Linked DNA regions of Drosophila melanogaster. The protein of the gene in region 1 interacts with the protein of each later gene in a pairwise test. Each region holds a gene or a part of one and is shown on either strand. Other genes may lie near its edges. The genes, in order: CG30393 and CG44001.

Region 1 (13,256 bases):
CTAAGCTGAACATACTAAATTTTAAATCAATTTATTCTCGACCGCAATCAACTTTCATTTAAATCAAATCAAATTTGCAGTTTCAGCTAAATGCTTGTGATGGTTTCACCTTTGTTTTAGGCAGATGAATTGCCAACCTTGAACCACCTACTTTCCAGGCTAAAAAAACAGAACCCTACCCCTTTCCGCGCCATATAATCCTTATCTGTTGACACTTTATCGGGGATTTTATTTTTTGTTGTTATTTTTTTGTAGGGTTTATATTGGTAGGCCGAAGCAACCATTTTTTGGGCTTATTTCTGTGATAGCCTACGTTGCCTGGAACCGAGCACAGCTGTCATCATTTGGGTGGCCTGATTAGCCGGGCGCAGAAAACGCTGAAGCGAAAATATTCATGTTAATAACTAGCAACAGGCCAACCGATAAGAGTGGGAGCGAAATTTTGGCCACATCATATCGGGCCATAAAGGCAAATGACCACCAAACGCACCACTAATATGGCCCGAAAATGCTGGCCAAAGTCTGTGAGCATAAAAATGAAATGAAAATGAATAGTGAAGCTTTAAAGTTCTGGCATGGTGACACCATACTCCTACTCTTCCTACGGCCAATTAGAAGGAATCACACACACACACGCGCAATGCTGTTGTTAGCCAGAAATGCCAGCGGCATCAATTGAATGCAAACGAGGCAAGCAGCCTTCCAGTTCCATTTGCTGACAAAGGATCCCCGGCGAAGATGAAGACGAGGAGGAGGAGTAAGACAACTTCATCGTCATGTGGCCTGGAGTTTCATGCACGACTGGATGGGTCAGCAGCTGAAATCATCATCGGCGTACCCATTTCGCTTTCCCTTTTTTAGTGTGTCCTGCGTAATGCATCGCTGGATTCTCACAGCACAGAAACTGTTCGCAACCCTTTAAAGCTGCTTAAGTCAAAATGCTGGGGTGGTTTTGGCCGCTTTCTTGTTGCTTTTGGCCCAGGTATACATAAAAATAAAAAAAAAAACGCTTTAATATGCAATATAAAATGCACTTTCACTTACACATAACATACACTTTTAGTTTCTTGGGAAGTCGAATGAATTTACATTTACATTTGGCCATTTTTAAGGCACCCCTTTTAGCTACCTTTTTCTCTCAGTGCCGCTGACTCTTTATCTCAAGCTGTTCTCGCATAAGCCGTCGCGTTAAAGACGTTTTCAAGTTTTTGTATTTATTCTGCTTCCTTTTTCCCCCGAGTCCTTTGCATTATTTACTGGCTAGGAACTTGGCCCGAATCTTTTACTCTTCGAAGCGCGAAAAAAAGCGTGGCTCGTTTTTTAATTATTTATGTTTAATCATTCGCACAAGTTGATTACCAAGCAGCAGGACCTTAAAGTCCTCGAATGAATGCGGCCAAAACTGCAAGTTCATCAAGTTCGCTACAATGTGCGAAAAGTGTCCTGGATGCACTTAAGTGCAAGTGCGGATGAAAAGATAGCGAAAGCGTAATTCGATTTGTGGAATGGAGGAGAATGGAGGAGGACAGCCAAATGGATGGATGGAATTGGATGGAATAGGATGCCCCGGGTCGAGTGGCTAATGATGCATGTCTAAGGAGCGAACAGGATGCCTAAATGGATTACAAATATGTTTTGATTGGCCCGCCGGCTGCCTTCGCAACCTCATCCGCATCCGCATCCGCAGCCGCCACTCCAAAGCCCATCTCATCGGTCGGTGGAAAATTCAATTTGAGTTTCCCTGCCTTTGGGCTAGTTGAGAAATGGATTTAATTTCGCCTCGGGAAATCTGCCCTTGCAAATGGCAATTAGTGTCTATTAGAATTCGCAGTCTGCAGTTTACGTTTCTCATTTAAGTTAGGCGAACTCTTTAAAGACCATTTTCCACACCGTGCCACTCGAAACTTTCCACATTTTCCAGCATTTTATTTACATTTCAATTGTGAAATGCTTTTTTTTTGTCTATAGGAAACCATACGAAAGAGTTCGACATGTGGATGATGTGATGCAAGGGTTAGCAACTGTAGCCAATATGAAGAGTTTATTTTTGGACCAATGGGGATTACGTGATAAACGGACAAGATCAAGTGAAGCCAAACAACGATTTGTTATGAAATCAATGGAAAGAAATCTCGGCAAAATTCTGGGAATCATTCATCAAGAGGTTTAGCAATAAATGTAGTCCATACAAAATGGAAAGTAAGCTATGGCTTAGAAACAAATATTTGGCATAAGAAAGTTGTTTCTATAAAGTTAGATTTAAATGATACAAAGTAATTGTTTTGAAAAGGTAGCGAGGAGGCTGCTGACACACAGATTAAACTAAGTGAAATAAAAACTTTGACATATAAAAACGAAAAGTTAACCAACTAACCCGGTATCAATGAACCAGAATCAGAATGGATAACCCCAATCGCTTGCATAACCAACGCACAGTAACAGTCATCTAAGCCTTTATATAACTCCGATGGAAACCACAATTCCCAAAGGCTTTGGCCCCTTCGTATAAATTTCAAATTTGTTTGTAGCAATTTGTCGTTTTTGGGGTGTCCACTGAAAATGCGAATGGGCTTTGGCCAACTACCGAAGCTGACCCAGTTTTCAAGAGACGCGTGAGGCACGTTTAAAAATAAATCGAATGGGGAAAGGGGGGAATGAACAGAATGGTGGTAGAGGGGTGGGGGATTGGAAAAACAAACAGAGGAATTTTATGTTTAATGGCTGCGGGGCGAAATGAAAAATCACACAGCAAATTATGTTGCATGTTGTTACACATAGCATTTTGTAGAACGCAGATGAAATTCGCTTTTCGTAGCTCACTTTTGCTTTTCGAAAATATATATACACAGTATTTCTTTGGGTTATTTCTGTGTCACGTCACGACCGAAGCAAATATTCGAGATAAAGTGTAATTTTATTTAAAAAAAAAAAAACCAATTCATTTAAATGTTTTGTGCATTCGTTTCATTTGCTTGTCACGGTTTATTTGCAGAGTGCACCATAAAACAAACTAAAGTCACACACCATACCAAAACTCAGATTATGAATTATGCAACCAAGCATCCACAGCAGCAAAATAGAGCAACTAGAGCCACAGCACGAACTGCTTAATGCACACAAGTAGCAAATCCTAGAGCAACTTGACCGAACTCGTTACGGAAAATTGCCGGCGAAGACCACAGACCACACACCGGACACAAACGGAAATTTCCCAGGAGTTGGACCAAACGAGATCAAGAGAAGTCGCCATGGTGGACGACATCTCACCGATGCATCATCGGATGCAAAAGAAGACGCGCAGCGCCTCCATTTGTGCCACCGGCGCCAGCATCGAGACGGTCATCCATGGAATGCCCGGCGCCTCCGGCAGTGCCACGCCCGAGGGCGGTACTCCCGGGTACCGGCGACGCCGACCGGCCACGCGCTCCCAGAGCGCCCGCATCACCTCCGGCGCCAGATCGGTGAGTACGCGGGGCGTATACGTAATGCGCTTGGAACGCATCCAAGCGGTACAGATTTTTAGCATTAGCATTTGCATCTGCCCGTCACTCTGGCAAAAGTTGCTTATTTATTTATAGCTTTAGATAAATGCACGTTTGCTTACTATAAATACGTCGTCTTTTAGCCCATTTGGTAGTCACGCACATGCAGATTGACATTTCAACAATATTATAATGTGTTTTTTAATTCCCAAAAGGACCATTTGATTCGCAAATATAATTGATTGATTTTATGAAATGGCACTTAGAGCATCAATAAAAATATTACTCTGAATTGAATTTATTATATTTGTTTGTTAGCTTTGCAGTTTACAGATTATAATGTTCAATCACGAATCACATTTTTAATTTTAAAGCCAACTTGAAAAAACTTCAATGGGTTCGTCTGACAACAAATTTTGAAGTGTCTCACTTGATTGAAGTGAAAACTTAAGCTCACTTTTAATCGAGTGTGCTCAGCTGAAAGTATCTCCGAATTGAGGTGCATAATCACTTTGAAGTTTACTTGGTAAACAACTCCCATTTGCGTGCCACAAATATTGAAGGGATTGAGTTAACTGGGTATAACTACATTTCCGCCGGCATTTCCGAGAAACGGAGAACGCAATCACGTGCACTTGGCCCAATTAATTGATCGATTACAATCCGAGTTGACCTCATTGGTTGGTGGCGTCGTGCCTTTTTTCGGGGGAAATGCTAAGGGCGCACATCAGCTGATCCCTTAGGGTGCGTTCATGTTGCTGATTGGATACGGATACGGCTTCTTCCACGACAGAAGCCTCCCGACTTAGACTCCTGGTCGTCCTCGCGCTGCCAATGGACATTTTCCGTTCCACTGAGCCGCTTTCCCGCTTCGCAGTCTGTGCCTCGTTTTGGGCCATTCTCTCAAACCGCCTGGCACATCGCTTCTTCTTGGCATGACTGAGATATGCGTCGGACTGATCCTTGATCTTCTGATGGTGTTCGTACGGCGGACACATCGGTGGCGGCCGCATGCATTTGCAGAAGCTTATGTTGTGCAGAAAGTATTCGGCAAAGTCCTCGTTGGGCTCCAATAGCTTCATGTAGCACTCCATTCGGTACAGATCCAAGGGATCCAACAGACGCGCCGCGCAATCCAGCTGAAGGTGTCCACTGTAGAAGTAGGCGAACAGCTCCTCCACCAGGTCGATAAAGAACTGAATGGGCTTGTGGAAGGCATCGCCCAGAATGAAGGGGCTCTCCTCGCTCCTATTCAACTTGGCACATTCACGGCGAAAGACAAGCACATACGGACGCAGGCTTTGGATGGCCCAACACTGATTCTTGTTTGAACTGGCTATCACCTGATAGTGGATGTAGAACTTGTTGATGATCGCATCATCCGATTCGATATCATAGATCTGCGGACATGTGCAGCTGGTGTCCAGCTGCATGGTGATCTTGTAGCGCTGGATTAGCTGGTGCAGTGTTTCTGCCGCTATCCTCTGGAGCTCTAGCTCCTTCCTATAGCTGTCAAAGTAACTCCGATACTTCTCCTCGATCACCAGCAGAATTTTGATCACTCTCTTTTCTACAGCATCGGAACTTCTAAGATTTCCAATCGCAAAATTGGCCATGCTCGCGGTCACCGTGCCTCTCGACATAAAGCTCTGGCTCACCATCATTTGGTACAGCCGATCGCGCATTTCCATTTTCGGTTGTGTGTGTTTTAGTGTATTTCCCTGCAAAAACAAGGACAACTTCTGATGAATGACATTTAAGTCGACGATGATGGATACCCCTATACCAGATGATGAATCCTAACAAACTGGAAATCAGTAGGCAATTTATTAAATTCTATACACCTCATATAAAATAAACGTAACTGCTTACAAAATTTAAAAACTTATCATACTTTCAGAGAATTTGTGGGTTCACCGACCATCTGATTACTGAATCCTTTACAGTTAGCTCGTGTCGGTTGTCGGGCAGAGGAGTATGGTAATCTTCCTTAGTAATACTTATTATAGACCTCTCACTGCGACGTTGGTGTCTAGAGATCCTCTTCAGTTCCCTTTCGTTGTCCTGGTCTAATTCCTGACCGGTGCTTATGCCAGACATCTCACTGGGACGTTGGAGTCTAACTATGGACTTCTTTCGATCCAGTAAATTGCTCTCGGCCTCGGCCATCTTTTCGCATCGCCTGGCACACCGCTTCTTCTTGGCCTGATTGACAAAGGTGGCGTTAAAGTCCTCTTTCACCTGCGGATACTCGTGGGCAGGACAACGGCGCGGCATACGCAGGCACTTGCAGAAGCTCATGTTGTACTTGAAGTAATTTGCGAAATCCTCATTGGGTTCCAATAGCTTCTGATAGTACTCGATGCTGTTCAAGTCCAAGGGATCCAACATGTGGGCAGCGCAGTCGAACTGTACGTGTCCACTGTAGAAGTAGGCGAAGAGCTCCTCCACCAAGTCGATGAAGAACTTGATTGGCTTGTGGAAAGCGTCACCCATGATGAAGGGACTATCCTCGTTCAGATTCAACTTGGCGCACTCTCGACGAAAGAGGAGAACATAGGGGCGCATGTTGTGGATGACCCAACCCTGGTTATTGTTGGAACAGGCTATCACCTGGTAGTAGATGTAGTATTTGTTAATGATCGCATCATCCGATTCGATCTCATAGATCTGCGGACACGTGCAGCTCGTGTCCACCTTCGTGTTGATCCTGTAACGTTGGGTCAGCTGATTCAAGGTCAGTGCCGCCATCTTCTGCAGTTCCAGCTCCTTCTTGAGATCCTCAAAGTAACTGCAGAACATCTCTTCGATGGCCACCAGAATCTTGGTCACCGAGCTCTCCAAACCTTCGTTGCAATCCAGATTCAAGATCGCAAACTCGGCATCACTCTCGGTGACCGTGACGTGCGACATGACGCTCTGTTGGGGTTTCAATTGCTGCAGCTGAGCGGTTGTTTCCATGATTAACTAGTGTGTATATATATACCTCCTTCTCTAATAACGACGAACCCGTCCGACTTATTCGACAATCTCAACTGAATCTTGACTGAAAAGGAAAGGCCTATTTTAGGAAGCTGGATTTATTTGTATTTACCATCACCGCAACTGAAATAATACAGAGAAAAACTGAAGTCGCTGACGTTTCCAATTCAATTGATTCCGTCAGCCAGCCGTCCGAGGAGCCTTGAATTCGGAGGAGCACTTGCAGTGCGGCGTGTGAATTGAGTTATATCGTGGCGAAATTCAATTTCATCGGACTGATGTGATGGTTGTCTCGCACAAAAGACTTTCGCCACGTGGCGGCATACGCTGCGTATGAGTTTTCCTGGCTGGTTTGGTGAGGGGGGGGGGGGTGTAGCTTCCAGTTCGCAGCTTCTGGTGCTGAATATCCCTCGCTGGTGAATCCCCTGCTTTTCTGCTTCTGCTCGCGACATTATTAGTAAGCAAACGAGGCAACAAAAAGCAGCCGTACAACCATGCAACGTGCTAAAAATGTCGTTCTCATCGCCTGAGATGCGCCCCGAGCTGGTAATTTATATAGAAAAAGTTTCCAAGACACACGCACACACACACATATGGTTTCCCGCTTTTTGGGGGCGGCATGTTCTGGCTGGGCGTGGCCGTAATGAGTTCGCAGCTAAGCAAGTGAGAAGTAAGTGCTTGGTGCTACCGACTATTGAATACCTGGTTTCTAAAAATCATTGCCTACATTTTGGCGTATGATTGCACATATACATAACTCCTCTCTAAACGAAATAGATTTCAAATTTTGTTAAAAAACTATATGCTTAAAATAGTAAGTACTACAAACACGTACTGGTTTTGCCAAGCAAGTTAGTAAAGGGTATTAAAAACGAGTTAGGAATGCTTTAACGACTTTTGTTATAAGGAAGCGGGGAGTAAGGATACAATCGGCAAGCAGCAAGGAAGTAAACTTGAAGTGCTCAGTGCCTTGATGTTCCAATGTCGATAAGTCGCTAGCACTTTTCATCTGCAGACGCAAAAGTTTAATGAGAAGATGCCACAACAGCAGCCAACACGATGAAGTCGCATTGTAATGCTATTTTCGTTTTGCACGGCATTCTGTGGCCCAAAGTCAGATATATCCCATGCAAATACTAGACAAAAACCAACAAATAGCCAAACCAAATAAATAAGACAGCCATGAATGGGGAAATATTTTGCGACTTTCGACACAAAAGTTCATCGGAGGCAAGGAAATTGCAGCCTTGTGTGCAATCAAAACTTTAAGCAGTGACACAATAAATTTGCAAGAAAAATATAGGATGTATGTACATTTTACAAAACTAAATAAATGAAAAATATTGATATATTTGGTAAGATATCACTAAATTTAAAGACGCCAACCTTACGAATAACTCATATGTCTTATCAATTTAAAAGTCAAATAGTATGTGTCTGGGAAATGTGAAATTAATTTCGAATTTTAATTTAATCCCCCGACGCCCGTAAAACGGGGCGCATTAAGAAAATAAATTATGTGCGCTGCCCCAGAGGACTAATTGGGGATTAAGCGGGTACAAATTGAAGACTCCGCCGCAGGACATGCCGCGGAGCACCATGGCATGGTCAATGAACTGGGAAGCCAGGAAGCAATTAATTTCTGAAGCGAGAAGCATCGACCATCTGACCACTGCATCCGGATGGATCAGATGTGGGTGTCCGTCCGTATGGTCGTAATATTTGATTAAGCCGGCAAAGTAGACCATGCAAACATTTGTCGAAAAAAGAAGAGCAATTACTGGTCACGAGAGCCCATGAAATGCCAGGATAAATGCGTACATACGTATACAGTCCGGTTCGTAGTTATATGTCTAAACTCGTATGTGTGTGTGTGTGCGCCATAAAAAGCGCAAAAGAGCGGCCACTAAATAAACAAGGAACGTTTACACTGACAGCTCGCCTAATGACCGCCGCCCCGCCCCCTTGGCCACACTTCCTGCGGATTTGGCGGCTTTGCCGGTCCCTCCAACTGACCAGAAACTCAACGTGGCCCAAATCCCTGGCCACTTGACAGCCGACGCCACGTAGCAAGCGCTTCCGGCGTGCCGTTTTCCAGCGATGAGAAAACCTTGTGCGGGAACAGTGGCGGAATCAGCGTGGCTTTCAGGGGATTAAGGTTCCCGATCAGCAACAAATTCAGGCCAAAAACCTTTACGGTCATAACTCAATCAAACATATAGTAGATTTTTTTAAAGCAAACTGGTTTCATTTATTTTAAAGATGTTCCATGTAGAAGGCCTAATTTTAAACATAATTTTAAATTTAATTAAGAAATCGTATCAAAGGCTTAAAGCCATAAGTTGAATACCTATACGTATATATAACATACTCCCCGCAAAACCAAACCCATTAATTAGAATCAAGGACATAAGCGGCACAACTTAATAACTTCGAACTGCCAACTAATTGGTCCCCAACACCCAAATCATATTGTTCGCCCTCGCCCCTGTTTTTTTTTGTTTTTTTTTTTTTGGATTTTTGGGCCAAGGAAAACGGAAGTGGCTAACAAAGTTGGACGTTTTGCATGCGGCTATGGCCACAGCTATAAATATATATCGCCCTCACACTGGACCAAAGAAACTGAACAAGAAGCTTACATTGCCGGAACAGTGGTGAAATTAGTTTTCGCCCCGTCGTCAGCTAGCAGTCAGGCAGGCAGCCAGCCAGGCTTCCAATGGAGCACCGCAGAGCTGAGGCGGCTTGACAGGCACTTGGACGTGGCATGAAGGATTTGGAACAGGGACACGTCCTCCTGCTCCAACCTACCCGCCAATGCCTGAGCAGGAAACTTTTGCGGCGGGCGAAACAAGCATTGGCGCTGATTGCATTTGGAGTGGCCGAGGCGTTTAACCTTGACATTTAGGTGGATATCCCTACTCTAGTTCCCCTCAAAGAGGATCGCGCAGGAGCCCTTCTAGCGAGGACCAGGGCCAGGACAAGCCGATAAATTATGCCATTGACGGTGGCCAAGTGAGATGGGCGTCTGGGGCGTCTGTTACGCCAAAGGACAAACAAATGCAATTTGATTTGTGTGAGAAATGCAATTTAATTTCTCAGTCAATCGGCAAGGGCAGTCCATAAATCACAGCGATTGCCTTGGGCCGCGTTTGATAGATAGCTATACATAGCTATACATAGTTGCCCGCTCTAAAGACACGCCTCCTCCTCCTTTCCACTTGCAGGTCCGCCAGAAGACCAAGGCGCAGCAGCAGCAGCAGCAACAGCAGCACACGCTCCAGGAGACCCGGAGCTACTGCACCAGTGAGCCCCGGCTGAGCGAGACGGAGACGCCTCCGCAGCGCCGCAAGCTATCGCAGCGGAGGCCACAGACGCACGGTGAGTAAATTACGCCCGGAGATGAGCATCTACAATTGCGGTGAATTAAATAGATACCAAGTGAATGCCAAAGAAATGAAAATGCAGTTGATGCTAAGCTGGTAAACTATAACATTGCAGTTCATAGGATTACCTGGTAACTTTGTAGATAAGAAGCTTAGCTTGGTTCACTGAAATGTAGTAGTAGTAGTAGTATAAAACAAACCTCAAAAAGATTTAAAAAGTTTGATAGTTATGCTCCTTTAGCACTTTTTCATCCTCTTATTACTTCCTCAAATTACTTACTTAGGATATTCAAGCTACTATTATGCCTTAAAACCAAAAATGACAAGCACTTAGTTGTTAGCTTGAATTTAAAACTAAAATGTATCACTCTACTCGCCCAAGCTTTTAAACCACTTCCATTAGTAGCAGCACAGTTCACTAGAATTTCGACCACACTTGTACATAAGTTAGTTAAAGTTGTGGCTTTTAATGGCCGGATGGAGCCATCAAAGCGGCGAAACAACGGCAACAAATTAGCCAAGTGCTAAGCCTGATCTTTTATGTGGCATAAACTAAGCTCTCAGCCAAATTGCTCGCAGCACGAGAGCGGCGGCAATGTAAAATTGACCATTAGGTCCTGGTGTGCAAAAGGAGCATGGAGCATCCTGCAGCAGTGCAGGTCCTTAAGGCGAGGTGTTGAAGCTGAAACAGAGCATATGGTTGTTTCATTCGTCCCTTTGTTAAGTACCTTTCACTAATGTTGATTCAATTAACGTGGGCGTTCGATGAACTTAACCATTGACCCAGTTTACCCGGGCAGCAAGTGAGCTACATACGTGTGTGGCACTTCTCACTGTCAACTCGACATGGGGAAACGGAAACCATTAAAGCTGTCCAAATGTCAGCCAGCTGGAGCAGGGAATACTGAATCAATAATGCAGCACGTTTAACCGAAGGGTTTCTCGCATATTTATCTACGTTCGGGTTTTTGCGTGCCAATGTTTATTCATATATTCAAATTCTTTTTACTCGTAGAGTTAAAAGGGTATACTAGACTTGGTCAAAAGTATCTAACAGGTAAAAGGTAGCTTTTCCGCTGTTTTCGCAGCTTTTCAATTAAAAGTGCATTTATCATCATCATAAGAATCAAGTTTCATTTATCAGTATATTTGAGTTTAAAGTTTAAAGCATCTGTAAATTATTCAAACTAGGCAGCTTAGCCTAATGGTTGAACCTAATCCCTAATGCAATCCACATTAATCTCTTTCAGCACACAGAAAATCAAACGCCTTCCTGGACGTGCCCACCATGAACATGCATCACCTGCGCGTCAACGACGACGACGAGGATGTGGACAGATTGCGCACTTTCAGCGCCTCCAAGGGAGGTGAGTTGACCCGAGTGGCGCAACAAAGACCACTGAGGAGCATTTATTAATTTCGAAATTGAAAGTCAACAAAGCCCGAGGGCCAGATGACTGGGATTACACATCTTAACAATGCGGCCATGGGTTTGGAGGCCAACAGGGAGCCAGGGAGTCCTGGGACCTGGGAACACGCACATCATCTTGGGGACACACGATACACGAGACGGCATAAAATTATAGTTTCGTTCCGGGACACGCAGCGCAGCAATCCTTATTGAAATCTTAAAAGGCTGTTACCCGAAGATGTTAAGGAGATATCAGTGGCACTAAATGCCACTCAGCATAGAATATGAATACCCAGACCAAAAAACACATATGCATATGTACATATGCACACACACACTCACATAGCCACATAGTCCTGCGAACTTTTGCCATTACATATGTGTGTGTTTGTTTTTTTCCTCCCTTTATATTCTACATTTGTGTCACGTTATTGTTACACATACGCACTGTGTGCCATCGCAACCCACTTACAGTGCGATTCGGAACTGTAAGGCACTTGGTTGAAAGTTTGAAGATGATATCTCGTTGAGAAAGTTTGCAACAATTTCAAGTGTCTTAAATTCAATTAAGATCGATTAGCAAGCTAAACTGCTTGGCTCAGGTGAATTGGGGATTATTAGCGCATTAAAGTGTCTTTTAGTTCAGTGATTCTATAAAATAACTGATTGATTAAGCCTGAAGAAACAAATCAGGTTTTGACTAACAATTGCTACTTTTGCAAGAGTGATTTCAAAATCCCTTTACTTCTCTGTGGTTACATAGATAGGTGGTGAGCATTATAGTTGCTATCTTTAGCCGCTCCCGCAAGCGTTTTGCATCCATAAATGCACGTCAGACTTAAAGTACGTGTTTAAGCTGAATACGGAATACGGAATACGGATAACGGAGAACGGAGTACGGAACACTTGAGCAGACATGACAGGAAACAGACGACAAGCCTGCGTACTAACAGCACACGAGGTGTCATAACTTAGTCATGACGGAGGAGCCGGAACCATTTGACAGACGCAAAATAAGTAGATATATGGAATGGAACATAGCTGCGAATAGATGTGAATGAAAAACACAAGTTTTAAAGTTTTTCCACACGTTTTTTTTCTATAATCCCTCTTTTCCCATTTTATTCTGACAGTTAACTACGTTTAAAAAAGTATTTCTTTGAATAAACATGTTTCCTTTGCATATCAACCCCGCACATCCTTTTTTAAAAATTCATGCAACATCAAAGGGTATTAAAAGTTCACCCCAAGTCGCTTGTTAACTTCTTCTTATTGCGGCTGAGCAGCGTCCCCAAATGCAATGCATATTAAAATTCAATGAAGTGTCTGTGTTTGCTCAACTAAATTGCTTTCAAATACAAGTGAAAAACCTTGTAGTTGGTTGTTGTTGTGGCCAAGAGGTGGCAGCTTTGCTTTGCGGTTATTTCTTGCCAGGAGTCATGTGCGTTCATTTAATTAATTTCAATTCGCTCAAGATGTTTGGCCGATCGTCTGGGCATACTCATCCCGGCAAAAAGGGAACTGTGGCCATCCATCAAATATGCACGTTTACGGTCGGCACGAGTGGGAAATTTAAAATGAGCCGCCGGAAAACTGACAGGCCGACATTCGAATCGAATATGCTTGGAGTGGGTGGCTTTGGATGGAATGGCTGGTTTGGTTGGTGTGTGATGATTAATTGAAATGCCCAGTGCCGAGTGTCAGTCATCGATGGCAGCCACTAAAGAGGACTGAATGAATTTTCCATACAAATACATCTCCAAACAAGAGCCGACAATTGTCCTGTGGGCCAGGATCGTACTGTAATTGAATGAAGTTGAGCGAGTGCTGGATATGTATTTGCATTTCTGCCTGATTTTTACCAGCAATTGGCAATTTTCGGCCAATTGCCAAACATTCGATTGTTGTGTACAGCAGTGGGTGTATTTTCGCATAAACAAAACGCGTCTGACCTTGAAGTCGGTTAATCATATCTCAAAAGTGGCAGCATATGCGAAA
Region 2 (17,476 bases), on another chromosome or scaffold:
GCGCGTCTGCTCAGTGTGACCCTATATTCATCGGGGGTATTCCGTATAAGGTCAATATCTTGACAGCTGGTTTGAAAAATAAATAAATCGAAAATTCCTTACTTCCGATAACACAACCGATAACTAAAACTTTAAAACATAGCGGTACCTTAAGCTTTATGAATTTGTTGTTTTGACAAACGGCTCTTGACTTTTTCAAAATGTCCGATTTCGAGTACGGAATTTGCCCTTACGACAAATCGCACCGCATCTTGCTCTTCCGGATGCCCAAGCACTTAATTAAGTGCGAGAAGAACTACTGTGGACCGCCGCTGCAGACCTGCAAGTACAACGCCACACACCGAGTCCAGGACATGGAGAAGCATCTGAAGGAGTGTGACTACTATCTCCGCAGCATCGAAAACCAGGCGGTGCAGATAGCGCTTCGTAGTCGCATACCGCCCAAACAGGAAGATGGACATGATGTGGACACACCATTTTAGGCTAAGACAAGCAGGCATCCAAATATACCATGTACATATGTGATAGTATATGAACCATAAAATAAAAAGCTTCTTGAAGAAGCATGCACAATATTCGTTTGATTGCATTTATGTTCTGATTAAAATAAGAATCTTAAACTAGAGGAGCAAAAGTTTTGGTATTTACAAGCCTGTTGCTATTGCATTGCACAAAGCCTGGGGTCAAATACATTCGTCTGGCGTTTAAAACATTTGCAGGCACTTTTCCACAACTATTTACAGTCTAAGATTACGTCTAGGACAAGCTACAGCATTACACCATATCGAGGTCCGATTCTGCCGCTTCCTCGTCGATCAGCTTTCGTTTATCCGTTGATTTGGTCGTGGCATCACTTAAATTGGACAGCGGACGCACCTTGCCCAAATTAACCACCGGGCTTTGGGTGTAGAGATAGATGGCGTAGGATACAACCGCGATGGCCAGCGCGGTGTTCATGTAAATGGGTATGGAGAAGAGGAAGTAGCATAGGACTGCCGTGAAGAGCAACTCCAGAGCGCTCGCGAAGGTCTTTAGAATGGAGTTCATGTACTTGAGGAAGAAACTCGTGACAATGCCAATAGCCGCATTGTTAACAATAATGATTAGCACGCTAAAGCGCATAATACTGCCCAGATTCTGCGGACTAAAGGCATCAAGGAGCTCGCCGCGCAGCAAGAGGATGACTGCATTGCAGACAATCGAGTCCAGGTACATGAAGACATTCTGTACAAAGATATTCACATCGGCTCCCTTATCTTTAAGCAGATACTCATTGTAAACGCCCGCCAGACAAGAGCAAATTGTCTGTGCCAGAATGAAGACGGCACTCAGGCTAAAATCGAAGCCGGACATGTTCTTGCCGTGAGCGTGCGTCTCTGCAGAAGTTGTTTTATTATGTGATTGCAGCTGCTGCTGTATGGCTGCGGACTCGCTGTCATCATTCGCATCGCTGTAGAAGCTGCCGAAATCGACCTGCTTCATCATACAGCCGAGTGTCAGCAGTATGAGGGAGATCCATTGCCTTTGCGACAGGTACTTCTTGAAGATAATTTGGAATAGTATGCCCGTGACAACGACACGTAGCTGCAGTAGCAGATAGTAGGTGGTGGGATCGAATGTGGCCAAGTTGACAAAGGCCAAATTGTTGTACAGGCAGTAGAGAAAGGCGGGCACCATGTACAAGCCCAATACATTCCGATCCTTCTGAACATCGCGCACCAGGGAGCGTAGGTTGTTGCTGTGAATGAAATCGCGGTTTAATAGCGAGACAAAGGAGCGCCTCCACTCCTACTCACTCTCGGCAATACAGACAGGTGGAGACTATCAATTTAAAGACCTCGGTTAGCAGCACAACCGTGACGGTATTGTAGCCATAGGAGTTATTCGATTCCTGAGATGCTGTGACAAAGATGCCTGCAAAATAGACAGGAATTAGGGTGCGGCTTTGGCTTGCGTAAAAAGCCTTAATAAGGCAGCTGCATACCCTGTCCTATGAATAGGGACATGTACAACAGGAAGATCACAAATGTGAGCTTGGTGGGGAACAATTCACGCCAATTAGTTGACATTTCTGCGGTCTTCGTACTGCCAGCGTTGCGTTGCTAATGCGAAGAGAACTAAGACTAGCTACAAGTTGCGGCAACCGCAGTTATCAGTACCGTTCCGCTCGTTCGTGACAAGTGGGCCGTTTCTCGGTTTTCTAGGAAGTACAATTTTGAGTTTGTTTCTGTTGCTTTTCCACTGATAAACAAAATATATTTTGGGCCTTTTTTTATCGCTCGCCCGAACAGCTGATTTTAAAGCAGTGCACGCTTTTCAACACTTCAACCCACACAAAAATTGTGGTGTTGCGAAACGCCCTTTTACCACTGCAGCCGAGTTCACGTCGTGGGTCTTTTCGCTTACAATTCGTCAACATGGCAAATCGCGCAAATCGTCATGCTGCTCGCACCGAGGATTCGGATAATACCATTAACTACGTCCAATGCGACGGACTGGTGAGTAGTGCTGTTGGCCAAAAGACCTGGCCGAGATTGGCCCGTGGGAACCGGCGCGAAAGCCGGAAAAGTTAATGCCACGCGCTGTCTCAGAAATTTGCGTGCTTTGTGTGTGTTTGTATGGGTGTTCGTGAGGACATGGGCGTAGAGCTATAAGGAAAAGGGGGCCGGTCTCTTCATTACCATAGCACAAAAAACTTCAGTCAAATGTTTTCTTCAGAGAAACTATTAAAAGAAAGTCCGAAATATATCTACTTTCCACGCCCCTGTTCAAATGCAAATAGTTGTCTGTCGCTAATTGATTTTGGAACATAATTACTACGATCACTTTACCTTGCAGGCCGTCATGAAGATGGTGAAGCACTGCCATGAGGAGTCGAGCAACATGGACCTCGCCCAGGGCGCCCTGCTCGGTCTGGTGGTAGACAAGTGCCTGGAGATCACCAACTGCTTCCCGTTTCCCAAGAGCGGCGATGAGACCATGGACGAGGAGATGTACCAGCTGACCGTGATGCGTCGCCTGCGTCGCGTCAACGTAGATCATCTCCATGTGGGCTGGTACCAGAGCTCCGACGTGGGCAACAGCCTGTCAATGGCTCTGTTGGAATCGCAGTACCACTACCAGACCAGCATTGAAGAGTCCGTCGTTGTCGTCTACGATACGCAGAAGTCATCCCGCGGATTCCTGTGCTTGAAGGCCTACCGCCTTACTCCGCAGGCCATTCAGATGTACAAGGATGGCGACTTCACTCCAGAGGCATTCCGCACCCTGAAGGTCGGCTACGAGAACCTCTTCGCCGAGATTCCCATTGTGATCAAGAACTCGCCGCTGACCAACATTATGATGAGCGAGCTGAACGAGCTGCTGCCCGAGGACAAGGGGCACAACTTCCTGGACCTGGGCACCGCCACCGTATTGGAGAACCAAATGCGTAGCCTGATCGAGCGCGTCGACGAGTTGTACCAGGAGGCAGTGCGCTATAACAAGTACCAGCAGGTGGTCTTCAAGCAGGATACGGTACGTAGCAATATAATTAAATATGTAAAAATTCCTAATCGCTTTCCTTGCATTTATATTTTTTAGGAGAAGCACCGTGCTCTGGCTAAGCTGGCCGCCGAGAACGCCGTTCGCACATCGAAGGGAGAGCCCACGGTGCCAGAGGAGGAAGTGATCAAACAGTTCCGCCCCATGACTGCGCCCAACCGCCTGACGGCCACCATAACCTCTGGCCAGATCAATACCCACGCCCAGCATATCGCACAATTCTGTTCGCAATCGCTGGCCAAACTCTTCATCACGGAATCGCTGCAAATTGCCAAGGAAGCAAAGGAAACCAAATAGATTAGCTAATGTTAAGCGTTTTTTAAGCTGAGGCAACAACATTCACTACCCACAAACATAGCAACTGCACACACAGACGTCGAAAATAAACCAAACAAGCGATGAGTGGGCTTGGAAGCGAACTGCCAGCTGATTTCTTCTTTATTGTACTCTCCATTTGCTCAATAGAATGGCCAATTCAAACCGCCCCAAAAAAAGAAAACCACCACCCGCTATGCAGCCAAAAATTGGTACTGCTTCTGCGCACGCCGGATGTTTGGTTTCACTTCTCGATGAGACTTTCCGGGGGAGTGTTGCTGCCACTGACGACATCGACGCACTTTTCACACCACCCCACAAGCAGCTGCTTATCATTTGGTTTGTTCTTTTCGCTTCGCCTTTTCGCTAACCAGCTTCAGTTAGCCTAACTAACTAAATTACTAACCCGATGGCAAAATGCTGTCCTACGACCTCAACGAACGCCTGCTAACCGCCGTACAGAGCGGAGATTTCGAGCAGGCTCTGGGCTGCATCATGCAAGGTGCCCAGGCCTCGTATGTATCGCCCACTTGCGGACGCACTGCCGTGGGCACGGCGGCCATTCTGGGCGATGCCGAACTGTTGGAGCTGCTGCTTCAATCCTGCGAGGAGCCCGAGCTGAATGTCTTTCATCAGTGTGAGTTTTCCTTCCACTGGTTCGTTCTGAAAACAAACGAAACTAACTTTCGGAAAATTTAATTGCATTAAAAACAAACACATAGAGAACATTAGAAAAAAAAATGCTGTGGGTAAGCTAGATAATGTGTATGTATATTGTTCAAAGGTAAAACATAAACATAAATAATAATAATAATAATCAATGGATCCAGGAAACGAATTAGTTAGATACAAGAAAATTTTAAATGAAGTGCCAGTTCGTTTGTTCACTTTTGGAGTATATATAATACTATACAGAATTTATTATAATTTTAATACTCCCACTAAGTTGAATGATCCAATTTTAGTCGGTTAATTTTGTACGTACTCAATTTCTTGTTGTGCATTCTTTTCTCTTTTCGGGTCTATCCAACATAATGCAAGCACAGAGAAAAGTAAGTGAAGGCCGGAAAACCGGTTATCGGTTGGCCAGTTAACCGGCTGATAACAATGCTCGACAATGGGTTCCAACTGCAACCAGACACAGTAGACACGGCTAGTTCTATGTGGCAAGTAACGAAAATCTTGTCAAACCTGAAACCTGTACTTCATACTGTCTTAGCAAAAAGATTTTCAAAAACTGCTTTCTTAGAACGTTTCACGTTGGTTTTGAATTGCAGCGAACACGGATAGCCTCGAGATCGAGCGGACGCCCGAGGGTATGGAGAAACTGGAGTGGGTGGATGAGTTCGAGAATAGTGCGGAGAATGGAGCGGGCAGCGGCGAAGAGGATAGCCAATTGTATCAGTATTATGCGAAAACCTTCGAAACCACCGGAGAGTTCATATCATCCCAGTGCTGTGTCTCCTGTCGCGAACATGATCCGCATCTCTACGATGCCGATGTGGCCACTCCGCTGCACTACGCCGCCTACTGGGGTCACGAGGAGTGTGTGCGCATCCTGTTGGAACACAACGCACCTATCAATGTCCTCAATAACGATGGATACGCGCCACTCCATCTGGGTGCCGGTTTCGCCGGTGTCACCGAGCTACTGATCAAGCACGGAGCCTTGGTGAATGCCAAAACCCTGAGTGATGGCAAGACGGCGCTTCATATGGCCATCGAAAGCAAGTGTGCGGAATCTGCCCGTCTACTGCTTCAAACGAACATCAACATCAATGACACGGATGATGATGGCGAGACACCACTGATGGCGGCCATTGCCTGCAGCATGTTGGACGTAGCTGAAGAGCTGGTGAAGCGTGGTGCTCGCATCAATATCCAGGACAAGCAGAATCACACGGCCTTGCAGTACGCGGTGAGGGGTCGTCACACCCAGATGGCCAAGTTGCTCTTAGAGCGCGGAGCACGGCGCCTGGCCTCCCAACACCTGCTGCATCTCGCCGTTGAGTCCAATGTCAAGGAACTGGTGGAGCTTCTACTGCAGTACGGCGAGAGTTTGTCCGTATGGAATCTCAAAAACTTCACACCCATCATGCTGGCCATCCATCGGGGGCGTCACGAAATGCTTGAGTATCTGCTGAACGTGGCTGAGGAACAGCGCAAGCTCGGACTCTACTCGGATGTCCACGATGAGGGCTTGGTTCTGTTTGCCGTGCAGCAGAATTTTTGGGTTAAGGAGTTTAGCCGCATACTGCGTGTATTGCTTGCCAAATCGCCCAGCGCTCGTAATGATTTCTATGACTCGTGTGCTCCGACAATCGTTTGTGGCCTGATTTATTGTCACACTCCGTTGTCCAGGGCCATCAACCTGCACCGCCTGGAGGTGGCCGAATTCCTCATCCACGAGGGCTGCAATCTGGCGCAGATTTGCCGGGAACATGTGGTGAATGAGCTCAGATCGAATTGCACACCAACACGATTGGCCTTTGCCAGGTTGCTATGTAAGTTGCTTACTCTGATCTTAGTTCCTATGAAGTACATGGTAGTTATTTTCATTTCCTATTGTCCATAGGCAACGCTGGCTTTCAGTTTCCGCACAAGCACCGACCCCTGCCCAAGGACTGGCCACCAGCGCGGCTGGAATTCGAGCGGGAAATGTGTTTGCTTGGCACCCAGCCACGCTCCTTGCAGTCTCTCGCTCGCCTGGAGATTCGTCGGAGTCTCCTGAGATGCCTGCAAACGCGGCCGGAGGTGCAGGAAAGGTATCTTCCCACTCAGGAGCGGTCATCGCTGGGGAGGATTGTGGATGAGTTCGCCATACCCGCCACCTTGAAGCGTTACCTCAGCGACTTTGACGAACTGCCGCCGGTGAGGGGTATGGAGCCGGTCGATATACCTGTTGTTAAATGGACTGAGTCTTGGGATTGATTGCGCTTTAGGAATTTTATTTTCAGATTATATAGGTTTTATATGTTTGCTATAATGATAGGTAGCGTATAGTTTTTGTAAATTGGCGACGAGTGTGTAGGAAGGTTCTGCAATAGTTTCCTTAATTTCAATTTCAACGCCAGATTAATTAACAACTTCGATACACGGACTCCAATGTGATATTAATTTTCTTACGATGTATTACAAATTTTGAACAGAATTTTCACGCAAATCTCGCATTTTTCAAAACGAGTTCCGTGTGCACATCCTGTTGGGCACAGAGTTTTCACTAAATTACTTGCACATTTTATGTTTACTAGGCATGTGTATATAGTCTATATAGAAGATTTAAACGATGTATGTATCCACTATGTTAATTTGACTACGCAAACGTTAAGATTACTTTTCCCATATACAATCGATCTCGCACACAATGCAAACAAATAAGGACGTATGCAATTTCTAAGTAGGATTTTACAACGATATCGGGTGCAATTTTATAGAAAACGTGTTAACAGACTCAATAAACAAAGATATTTAAACCGTAACGAATACGAATATGTTGAACGGGGAATGACAAGCCCTTTAGGGCTTCAGCAGCAGCTTAAAATCATCATTGGCGTTCTCCATGATGTACTCAAATGCAATTTTGTCCTTTTTATCCTTGACCAGCTTAAGTGTTGGCTCCTTTGCCAGCAGAATGCGACACACCTCCAGGTGGCCCCGCATCACTGCTCGATGCAAAGCGGTCTGTCCGCTCTCGTCCTGCAGCAGAAGATTAGCCTTGTGCTCGACCAGTAGCTTCACGATTTCCAAGTGGCCTGCCGTCAGATTAAAACTCGTAGTATTGATTGATCATAACTGCGATTTGCAATGGTTGTTACCCATCATGGCTGCACGATGCAGCGCGGTGGCTCCTGCTTTGGTCACAGCATTCACGTCTGCCTTGCCCTCGTCGAGAAGCAGCTTGCAGATGGGCTCGTTCCCATTGCGGGCCGCATAGTGCAGAGCCGTATAGTCGCAGTCATCGCGAGCCATCGACTGGCCCTTCTTGATAAACTCTCTTACACGCTCCACTTCGTTATAGATAGCTATACAAAATTAAAGAGTTGGTCAAGGACGATAATAACCATAAGATTCACGGCTGTATTTCTTACCTGCATTCCAAATGCCTCGATCGAAGTCCATGTCGCTTAACGTCTGCTGTGCCGGCTGCGTCTGCTTGTGGCACTTGCAGTTGTCCGCACTATGTGGATCCATCTTAGCTTGCCGATTATTTCGAGATATTCTCTACAATTCCGAATTCCGAATTCCTTTTCCGCTTCTTTTGCTTTCGCTGCCAGTTGCCTGATCTTTGACGCTATAACAGTGTGATCTCATCAAACGAATTAGACCTCACGCTGCATGGTCCAACAAATTTCGGCTTCGCCGCAACTGCAGACAACCTTGTAGCTTAGCTGGGCGAGAGTGTTCAGCATAACCATGGGCGGCACTGCCACCATAATACCATTGACGCACGCCTTAACACCGCTCTCGAAGCGCTTGGACAGGGCTTGAACTTCCGCTTGATTCAGGCCAAAAATGGTGCAGGTGTAATCGTGCAGCGAGCCCTTGACGGTCACGTAGGCAAAGTTGCCCTCCGACTGCAGAATGGGCACCGGTATGGTCACCACATTGGCCGGTACGTTGGCGGTGGCGGCGTTCAAGGATGCAGCCGATGCCGCGGACACGACAGTCGAAACAACTTCGCTATTGAGATTCTGAGGTTCCTTCAGCCCGACTGCGCCCTCACTCATAGTTCGTTCGTCTGAAGGGACTCGCTTGGTCGCCTCCTTTGCTCAGTGTATGTTATGGAACAAAATTCCCTAGGTTACTATAATTTTTTTTTTTTCTTTTTTCACACCGAAACACGCACACAATTCACACACACACACACTAAATTATACAACTAGAGTAGAGTTCTTGGTTGATTGCTGCTCTTTTTTTTTTTGTTTGTTTTGGACTGGATGGGATGCGGGTCTATTCAGGCGAATCCACCTTGTGATAGTTGCCTAAACTGGCTGCCTCGCGGCCAATATTCGATAGATTTTCTCGCACCACGGACTCGGCTTCCAAGGGTTCTGGTTCGTCGAACTCCTTGCGCATCGTCCACATGTACTCGTTGTAGTCCTGCTTCACGGCAGTCGATGAGCTGGCCACTACGCGAAATCCCAGGATCTAGAAGGAAAAATGCAGAAATCGATGAGTCACTGGATAATTGAAAGTTCAATAGGAAGGGAAGTGGGGTTGAAAGTTTTACTAAAATAATTAATCAGTGCCTGCTCGGCGAATTGTTTAAGTTGATAAAATAACTGCTGTCTCATTAGATAGCGAAATGTGTGTCTATAAGAAAATATCATTCTGAGTAGGTCGGTATGGGATCTGGAAGGTGTACTCACTTCTAGCGCCGATAAAATCCGACAAGGATGCACTAAGTAGACGATGGTGGACTCGTCGCTGTAGCCGCCGCAGGAGAACTTGTTCAACTGCTCGATGTCGTCAGCTGGAAGAATGGGCAATGGTTATCATGGGTGCTACTTTTGATAAAATCGCTTTCCTTTTCGCTAATGTTTAAACAGTGCAAACAAAAGATAAACTCGGCTGTGTCGAAAAGTGACGTCAGCCCAGGGCAATTGTCTTTCAATGTGAGTGTGCTAATTAAGCGAAATGGCGAAAGAAATATTGACTGCTGTTTCATAATAAACGTAAAATGGGAGTATCTCGGGAGTATCGTATTTTCTTTGTCCCTAGACGATCCCAGTGCATTGACTTCTGCGCCGCACAGATACTACTTCCAGAAATATGCACCGGAATCGAGTGCATATATGTGGCACTACGTACGGCTGTATATATAGATATCTACAAATATAAGCACGACAGGCCGCTCTGCCAGGCGAACTGCACGGAGCGAAAAACAAACCCAAACTGGCGAACTGAAGACCTCGTCTGCGGGCACCAAACTTCGCACAGTGGCGGTCGAAAAAAGCGGAATGGTGCGGGCAGGCGGATTTCCAGGGGCAAATGGAGTGCAATTAAAGGGCAGCTGTTGATTTTATGAGGAAAATAACTACGGCACAGCGCTAATGGTTATTGGGTAACCAGCAAATAAAAATAGCTTGCCGTAGATTTTTTTATTTATTTTTTTTTTATTATTGTTTCAGTGAGATTTACTGTAACTTTACAATTCAAAATGGGAGTAGAATTTGAATGTCAAAAAATAAGTATAGGATTGGATTTTCAAGATGCTTTCAGTATTTTAAAGAATATAACTAGATAAAGTTTTAAAACATTACATTGTATTATTATGACATCAAATAGGCGTGCATTTGGTCATGTTTCCAAGCTTGAGCAAAATACATGCTAGATATTGAAACAATAGTTTGAAAATAATATATGTATATAATATTTATACAGCCACTGTCTAACCATTCAAAAATTTGTTTTTTTTTTTTTTTTTTTTGTGGTGCAAAGTGGAAAAACCGAAAAGAGCGTTCAGAAATCTATCGTGTGTTCGTATCTGTTTGCCAAGCTCTCGAAATGAATTGTGTGTGTCGCAATGGTAAACACACTACAAATAAAAGCGAAACGAAACCAAAAAAAAAAGAGATACTGTATCTACGCGGTTCAGGCTTTACCTTTCAACCCGGAGACGAGCACCCTCCATGGATATTTGTGGCTGTAGGAGGCTAGATTCCCCCGTATGATTATGTACGGCATTTGGCCCGATTACTGCTGAATATATCTGCGGATTAATTAGCGCGGGCGTGCCAACGAAAGCCGTGAAACGTAAGTGAAAACCAAATGAGATACGAAACCGTGAGGCAGCTAATGCTCGCTGTGGCGCTCTGCTGAAGGCTGACTCTCGACTGAAACCGAAATCGGGTAACACGTTGTTGACCAAGAGGTTTTCCCAGCGCTAGCTCAGCTCTACTGCTTTGGCTATTTTGTTTGGTTTGGTTTCGTATTTTTATTTCGCTTTTGGGCGTCGCGCAGCGCTGCTCTCTGAAATGGTTAGCAGCTATTTTTTTTATTGGATTAGCCTGCGGCGTAAGGTGGCAGATACCCAAATGACAAAGTGACGCACTCTGGCCAGGATAATCACTCGACCGATATATGTACGATATGACCCAACCCAGTGGCCAAGGCGGAACATATACCTAGATGGCTATATGGTTCAGGGGACATTCTAGAACCAGATATTACTGGACATTCTTTCCTAGCTCAAAACTTATTTATATATATTATTATAAACAAAATGAATTGAATTTAGCCTCAGAAATGCTAACTTTCCTAAAAACAAAATCCCATTCGATCAACGCTTTCAAAACATGCAGACAGTGCGAGTGCAAATTTTGAAATGGATTACCTTATTGCAATCCCCCTTGGAATTCCACCAGCGACATCCCTGAGCCATGCGCCCTCTCGCTCGCACTCGCTGGCGGGGTGGCACCCCGCGACCAGTTGCATGTGAAGCTTTAGTCAGTGACTATAATTACTGACCTGACCGACCGGTCGACTAATGAGTAAGTATTTCTGTCGCTCGGCGCCCAACGAAAATACTAATAAAATGAAAATAAAAGTCTAACCAAGCCGGTCAACAACTCCTACCCACATACACATACATAGCCGCGCGCGCACACACACACACACGCACACGTAGGCAATTGGGGTCCTGGAAATGCACACGCACACACCCAGTGGGCTCAAGTGTCCTTTGCGTGTTTGGGGCACACAAAATGAACGTGAATTATGATCAAATTTCGAAATAAATAAACGCGCGGCTCCAAATGATTTTTATGCCACACAGCTGTCGCAAAATGATGTCATTTGAATTTAATCAACTTCGTTCGCCCACTTTTTTTTTAGATGTTTTCAGCTTTTTTCCTTGTTGCTTTTAACCTGCACAGCACTGTGTTGGTGTTTTTCTCTTTAAGAGCTCACCTGCTAAATTAACGAGGCTTTAGTTTAGCAATAATGCGCTTTTCGCCAATTTGTGCAATTTATTTTCTTTTATTCCTCGTAATGTAAGTCAGGGCTGGCGCGTAGCAAACACTGCTGTAAAGTTAACAGCAAGGTGGGCAGTGTTGGTAGGGCGTGGAAACACCAGGGCTGCACAGATGCTAAACCCAAAAATCGATGGGCTAACATTTATTTTTCGCTGACGGTCACATTGTCTGCATTTTCGTTTCTTTGGTGTACGCAAATAAATAAACGAATTTTTATGTGAACATGTATTAATATGTATAGGTAAATAAATTAATTTCCATGCCCATAATATGCACGTGTGACTGAAGGGCTGTGTGGTTAGGTAAACAGTTGTGGTCAGCGAAATATTGGCAAGGCAAGCGAAGACAACAGCTGTCGGTGATTATTTAAAATTCAAAAAATAGTTTTTTTTTGTTGTCGGTTTTTTACTGACATTTGCATATTTCAGAAGCAGGCGAAAGGTGAACTGAGTTCATTGTGCTGTTGGGCATTACGTGTGCGTCCATCCGGTCTCCCTCCTCCGCCGGAACATCATCCCCCCCATCCACTCGAGAACTCGGGAAGCTGCCAAAAAAAAAGAGAAAACAAAGACCAAAGAACACGCCGCTTGGCATAATCAATTAAAATGCCTAGGAATCTGCCGCTCCTCCCGCTGACCCTCTGTGCCGTCGCCTTGCTGGCCGCCGTGGGTCCCATGCCCGCCCATGGGGCGGTGGCCAACAGTCACAAGCACGAGAAGCACCTTAGCAAGGAGCGGGTCAAGGACGGCATCTACGCTCCCCGGGATGCCCACCACCACGGCGAGGATGGGGAGCACAACGTGGAGTTCGATCACGAGGCCATCATCGGTGAGTCAGCGCTAGTTAGCAGAGAAAGCAGATCATATTCAGTTTGAGAAAATCACTTTGAAAAGAGCGAAAAAGACTCCTTACAATGAAGGTCATAAAAGTAGTGCTCATTTCCTGAAAAGCAAATAAAATATAATCACGTTTTTTTGCCAGAACAACAATAGAATTTCCAGTTTCAGTTGTTAATTTGTAGAAATATAAAAGTTTATTTTAAGGATACTTTCCAACCCAATGAAATTATGAGTATTGACCATAATTTTGTATTATTTTAGTTATGAAAAGGACTCATACTTTTTTTTTGTGTATGCTATGGTGTATGCCATATGTTTGTTTACTTGCCTGAGGTTTATTTTTGTGGGTCTGCACACGGAAAGACTCATTCAAGCATCAAGAGAATACGGATCAGTCAATACACATACCCATTTATGCTCAAAAATATTGCTTGAAGGTCGAAATATAGTTTACTAATGAATTGGAATATGCTGTAAGAAAATGTATTATTGAAGTATATAAGTTTGTATAGTTTTATAGTGAAATCATTAAAATTGTTTTCTAAAAGCAATACGTCAATGGCATTGCTGCTGTTTTATGTTCCATTCAGTTTTAAATGCTAATGTATGTGTGTGCTATTATTACTCTTTAACCACAAAAAAGGCAACACGAAAGAGGCTCAGGAATTCGACTCACTTTCGCCAGACGAATCGAAGCGACGACTGTTGATATTGATCAAAATGATGGATCTGAATAAGGACGAATTTATTGACCGGCATGAGTTGAAAGCCTGGATATTAAGGTCCTTTAAGTGAGTGTTGTCTGTTGATTAATACTGCATCAATGTTAGCCAAGCCAATAATCACCTCAGCAACCTAATGCTTTGTCTAAATGCTTGCCTAAACTGAAAACGCATAGACTATTTGAAGCTTTTACTAAAATACATAATACAACTTGCAGAAAACTGTCGGAGGAAGAAGCCGCTGATCGATTTGAAGAAATAGACCAGGATGCGGACGAGAGAATTACGTGGAAGGAGTATCTCCAGGACACATACGCCATGGAGGATGAGGACTTCAAGAAGGAGACCATCGACTACGACAGCTACGAGGATGAGCAGAAGATGATCAAGCAGGACAAGGAGATGTTCAATGCGGCCGACACGAACAAGGATGGTGTGCTGACGCTGGAGGAATTCGTTTTATTCCAAAATCCCGAGGAGCATCCACAAATGTTGCCAATACTGCTGGAGCACACGATGCAGGACAAAGATGCGGATCACGATGGCAAGATCAACTTCCAGGAGTTTGTCGGCGACGCAGCCTCGCACCACGACAAGGAGTGGCTGATCACGGAGAAGGAGCGCTTCGACAAGGATCACGACTCCAATGGCGATGGCGTGCTGACGGGCGATGAGGTCTTATCCTGGATTGTGCCAAGCAATACGGCAATTGCCAACGACGAGGTGGACCATCTCTTTGTCTCCACCGATGAGGATCACGACGATCGCCTGTCCTACCTGGAAATACTCAACAACTACGATACCTTTGTGGGCAGTGAGGCCACCGACTACGGCGACCATTTACAAAACATTAACCATCTCTCCGACGAGCTCTAGATGCCATTCAAAGCCCCATCGTGCTATAGTGAACCTGTGCTTAGTATTGTATTTCGTTTAAATAGTTAGTAAATTTATGTTTATTTATGTAAATTCAAGTGACAATTGCAAATCAATATCGCCAAATTCTTTTGAGCACTTCTTACGAATTTAATTTTCAATACTATTTCGTTTGTTTCGTCATGTATCAATTACATTATGTGTAGTAATTTATATAAACAGAAACAAAAATCTACATAAAGCGTACTAAATAATTTTTACTAAATTACACTTTGCTTTATATGCAATTTATGACTAGACACATTTTCATTTTGTTACATTACAGTACTTAGGCCTTAATTGCTGTCTGCGAATTTACAAAATTAGTTTAGCAGCGTGTTCTTTTTGACTAGATTTCACACTCGTCTGTACCGAAAAATATGCTTAGCTCTAGATTATTTTGCGATTTTCTAGCAAGCACTTGAAGCCCCGAAAAACGTTTTTCTCATTTCTTATATCACAAATATTGCACCAAATTGGCCTATTTTCCCACATTTTCGCTACAAATGAAGACAAATCAAAAGGTCGGACGACTATTATCCACACAAATTCCGAATGCTTAAACTTAGCACGCTCTAAAGCTACTACGAGAAATGCACACGTCCCAGAGGAGCCACTGCATCGTCTGGTAGTCATTGGGCACTCCAATATGTGATGGCACTAAAATCATTCACGGGCCTCATACAAATCGTAATTCATAATGCACATCTCCAGCTGATTCACCTGGGGGCGAGGACGTACTCTATAAACTTAGCTTACGTTGACCGGACACGATCCGAGCTCTACAAATCACACAGTATATCGTAGTTGTCTACCTGACGCAGTGGCTTCTTCTCGTCGATCACCTCGCTCAGATAGTCGGCGATGGGCAGCGGCAGCTTCAGCTTCTCCAGCTGCGCAGCGCTTCGTACGCGGCGCATGATCACCGCCCGACAGCGATCCTGTAGGTTGACGAACTCCCTCCTGGTGCACTTTAGGGTCATCTCCGTTTTGGCGGCAGTAGAGCATACGATGGGGTACAGGGGCTCATCAATCTGTTGGGCAGTTAGGCGAGATTCTAGAGCCTGATCCTTGGAGGATTGAACAATTCAACCGGACTCACCTGATCCAATCCGCGGAAAGCAACGCCCAGGCACTTGCCATCCTTGTAGAAGGTGAGTGTGCCCTCAATGCCATCGAAGAGAACGCCAATTTGGGTGGGTTGATTCTCGCGGAACCGCTTCGTGTACAGCAGGGCCACGCCCTCGTGCCAGAGCACGCCCTTGTGGGACAGTCCCCAGCCGTGTTCGTTCTCGCCCAGCATGTTCCGGAAGGCGTTGGCATGTAGCCGTGCCGACTTGGTACCGATACCGAACATTATCGAGGTGCCAAAGACGCGCTGCGAGACATGAAGCTCCCAGTAATGCCGTCCGTTATTCAGGGATCTTTTGCCCTGGACACCGGCAGTGCCCTTGCTCCAGTTGGGATGGAAGTGCACGGTCCGCGAGTTGGGTCCTCTGAGCACCACTTCCTTGGAGCGGTGCCGCTTGCTCCACGTCCAGTTATCCTCAACGCCATTGGGCAGCGGACAGAAACGGGGTGGCGGCGATGTGGAAGATGATGCATCCAGTGAACCGGACGACAACCCTCCTGTTACTCCTCCTCGTCGACCGGTTGGACGACGTCTCCTCGGGGCAATTGCCGCTATGGGATGGGGGTGAGCCTGCTGTGGATCCACTTCAACATCAGACATTGTGTTGCGACTAGAAATTTTTTCGCTTCTCAATTTGTATCAATTTGACAAAGGGAACCCTTCGAACTGTTGGGAGGGGGGGGGGGGGTTAAGTTTTCAATAGGGTTGGCTTCCTGGGGTTGATGAGCTTCTCCAGGTCTCAAAAGTTGTTGAAATCGTTCAAGGAGCGGCTTCAGGGGTGGCGTCTTTAGCTCGTAGTTGTTTGTTCTTTCGTTTCTCTGGTGGTTAACTATGTTATACAATTTTTTTCAATACATCTTTATAGCATAGTTTTTATGAAGGGTTCTTCAGTTCTCCAGACGAACTCCAAGTGGATGATTCTTTATGCAAGGATGAGACCAAGAGGCGTTTATCTACAAGTAAGTGGTTAGTAGGGGCTGTTGGATATCCTCCTGCGGCAGGTCCTGCAGCTCCGCTTCCTCCTCCAGTGGAACGTCCTCAATAATATCCTGATCGAAGGACGCCTCCTCCTGCTCCTGCGATCCAACGCTGGTCAGTGAAGCGTAACCACTGCTCAGGGAACTGCTGCTCCAGCTGGCACTCAGTCGGACTGGACGATAGCTTCTCGTCGGTTGCAGTTGCTGCTGCTGCTGGCCAAGAGTCCGCTTTAGCTCCCGCTTGATTCGGCGAATCTGCCGGAAATCCTGCTCACCACCGGAACCCCTCTGCCTGTGCAGCTGCAGCTCCTGCAGATGGAAGTGATGGCGACAGTAGCCCTGCGGACTGTGAGCACAAAATCGACAGGCCTCGGAATTGAGGCCACCAACGAGCGGAAGGATTGGTTCGAGGATGCGACGCTTCTGGCTGCGCTTCTGTTGCTCCAGCTGCTGCTCCGCCAGGCGCTGTGGCGCCTTACGATCGCCCACCGTTTCGGCCACCTCCTGCAGCAGGCGCACGTTCCTCGGGAAGCATCGGTCGTGGACGTAGAGCACCAGGCGTTGGCAGTAGAGGCACAGCGATTGGAACAGCAGCAGCAGGACGATAATCATAAATATGTAGGGGTGGTGGTGTGTCCTCTTCCTTTTTTTTTTTTTTTTTTTTGGTGGGGCGGAAGACTGCTGCTTCTTGGGAGTCTCTGATTTTGGTGGTGCACTTCCCGTTGGCTTTGTGGTCTTGTTAGTTTATGCAAATTTCACGCTGCTTTCCAAACGAGAGCTCGCAATTTTCACTGTTTTTTTTTTCGAGGTACACACATTTTTTCCGTCTTGCTGCTCCTCCACACCTACAAAAAGCAGCTCCTCTTATCTGGCTGAAGTTACAACTCCCACCGACGACCGCCTCCGCTTGCGTCCAAGTCACACTGGCTTCTGGCACTTTTTTTCCAACTCACTTTTACGATTCCAACTTGAATCGCCCCACAAAGGCCTACCCTTATTTTCCACGACCTGCTTCCAACCACCAATTGGACTTTGTGCGCGTGTGTGTGTCTGCATA

Evidence for each region.
Region 2: the proteins of CG30393 (region 1) and CG44001 interact in a two-hybrid assay, tested with the Drosophila melanogaster proteins (one large-scale study listed by BioGRID).

The regions. Positions count from the first base shown.
Region 1 is NT_033778.4:21,261,073-21,274,328, forward strand, and holds CG30393 (uncharacterized protein), read right to left. Parts: upstream 6,508-13,256; 5' UTR 6,444-6,507; coding exon 5,379-6,443; 3' UTR 5,292-5,378; downstream 1-5,291. Other genes in the region: Rgk3 (Rad, Gem/Kir family member 3), read left to right, coding at 3,249-3,461, 9,689-9,842, 11,098-11,214; CG30391 (uncharacterized protein), read right to left, coding at 4,157-5,173.
Region 2 is NT_033779.5:5,037,677-5,055,152, reverse strand, and holds CG44001 (uncharacterized protein), read right to left. Parts: upstream 11,884-17,476; 5' UTR 11,770-11,883; intron 11,352-11,769; exon of another isoform or gene 11,145-11,351; intron 10,847-11,144; exon of another isoform or gene 10,546-10,846; coding exon of another isoform or gene 10,464-10,545; exon of another isoform or gene 10,441-10,463; intron 9,757-10,440; exon of another isoform or gene 9,670-9,756; intron 9,332-9,669; coding exon of another isoform or gene 9,228-9,331; intron 9,007-9,227; coding exon of another isoform or gene 8,809-9,006; 5' UTR 8,586-8,808; coding exon of another isoform or gene 8,178-8,585; 5' UTR 8,050-8,177; coding exon 7,947-8,049; intron 7,881-7,946; coding exon 7,674-7,880; intron 7,611-7,673; coding exon 7,375-7,610; 3' UTR 6,790-7,374; downstream 1-6,789. Other genes in the region: CG14036 (uncharacterized protein), read left to right, coding at 201-482; senju, read right to left, coding at 775-1,738, 1,797-1,914, 1,985-2,069; eIF3h (eukaryotic translation initiation factor 3 subunit h), read left to right, coding at 2,418-2,498, 2,839-3,516, 3,583-3,840; CG9121 (uncharacterized protein), read left to right, coding at 4,276-4,495, 5,136-6,362, 6,434-6,789; CG44000 (uncharacterized protein), read right to left, coding at 8,178-8,585; CG33995 (uncharacterized protein), read right to left, coding at 8,809-9,006, 9,228-9,331, 10,464-10,545; CG31650 (uncharacterized protein), read left to right, coding at 12,440-12,662, 13,317-13,464, 13,614-14,271; SP555, read right to left, coding at 14,977-15,033, 15,126-15,344, 15,413-16,042; CG14042 (uncharacterized protein), read right to left, coding at 16,396-17,031.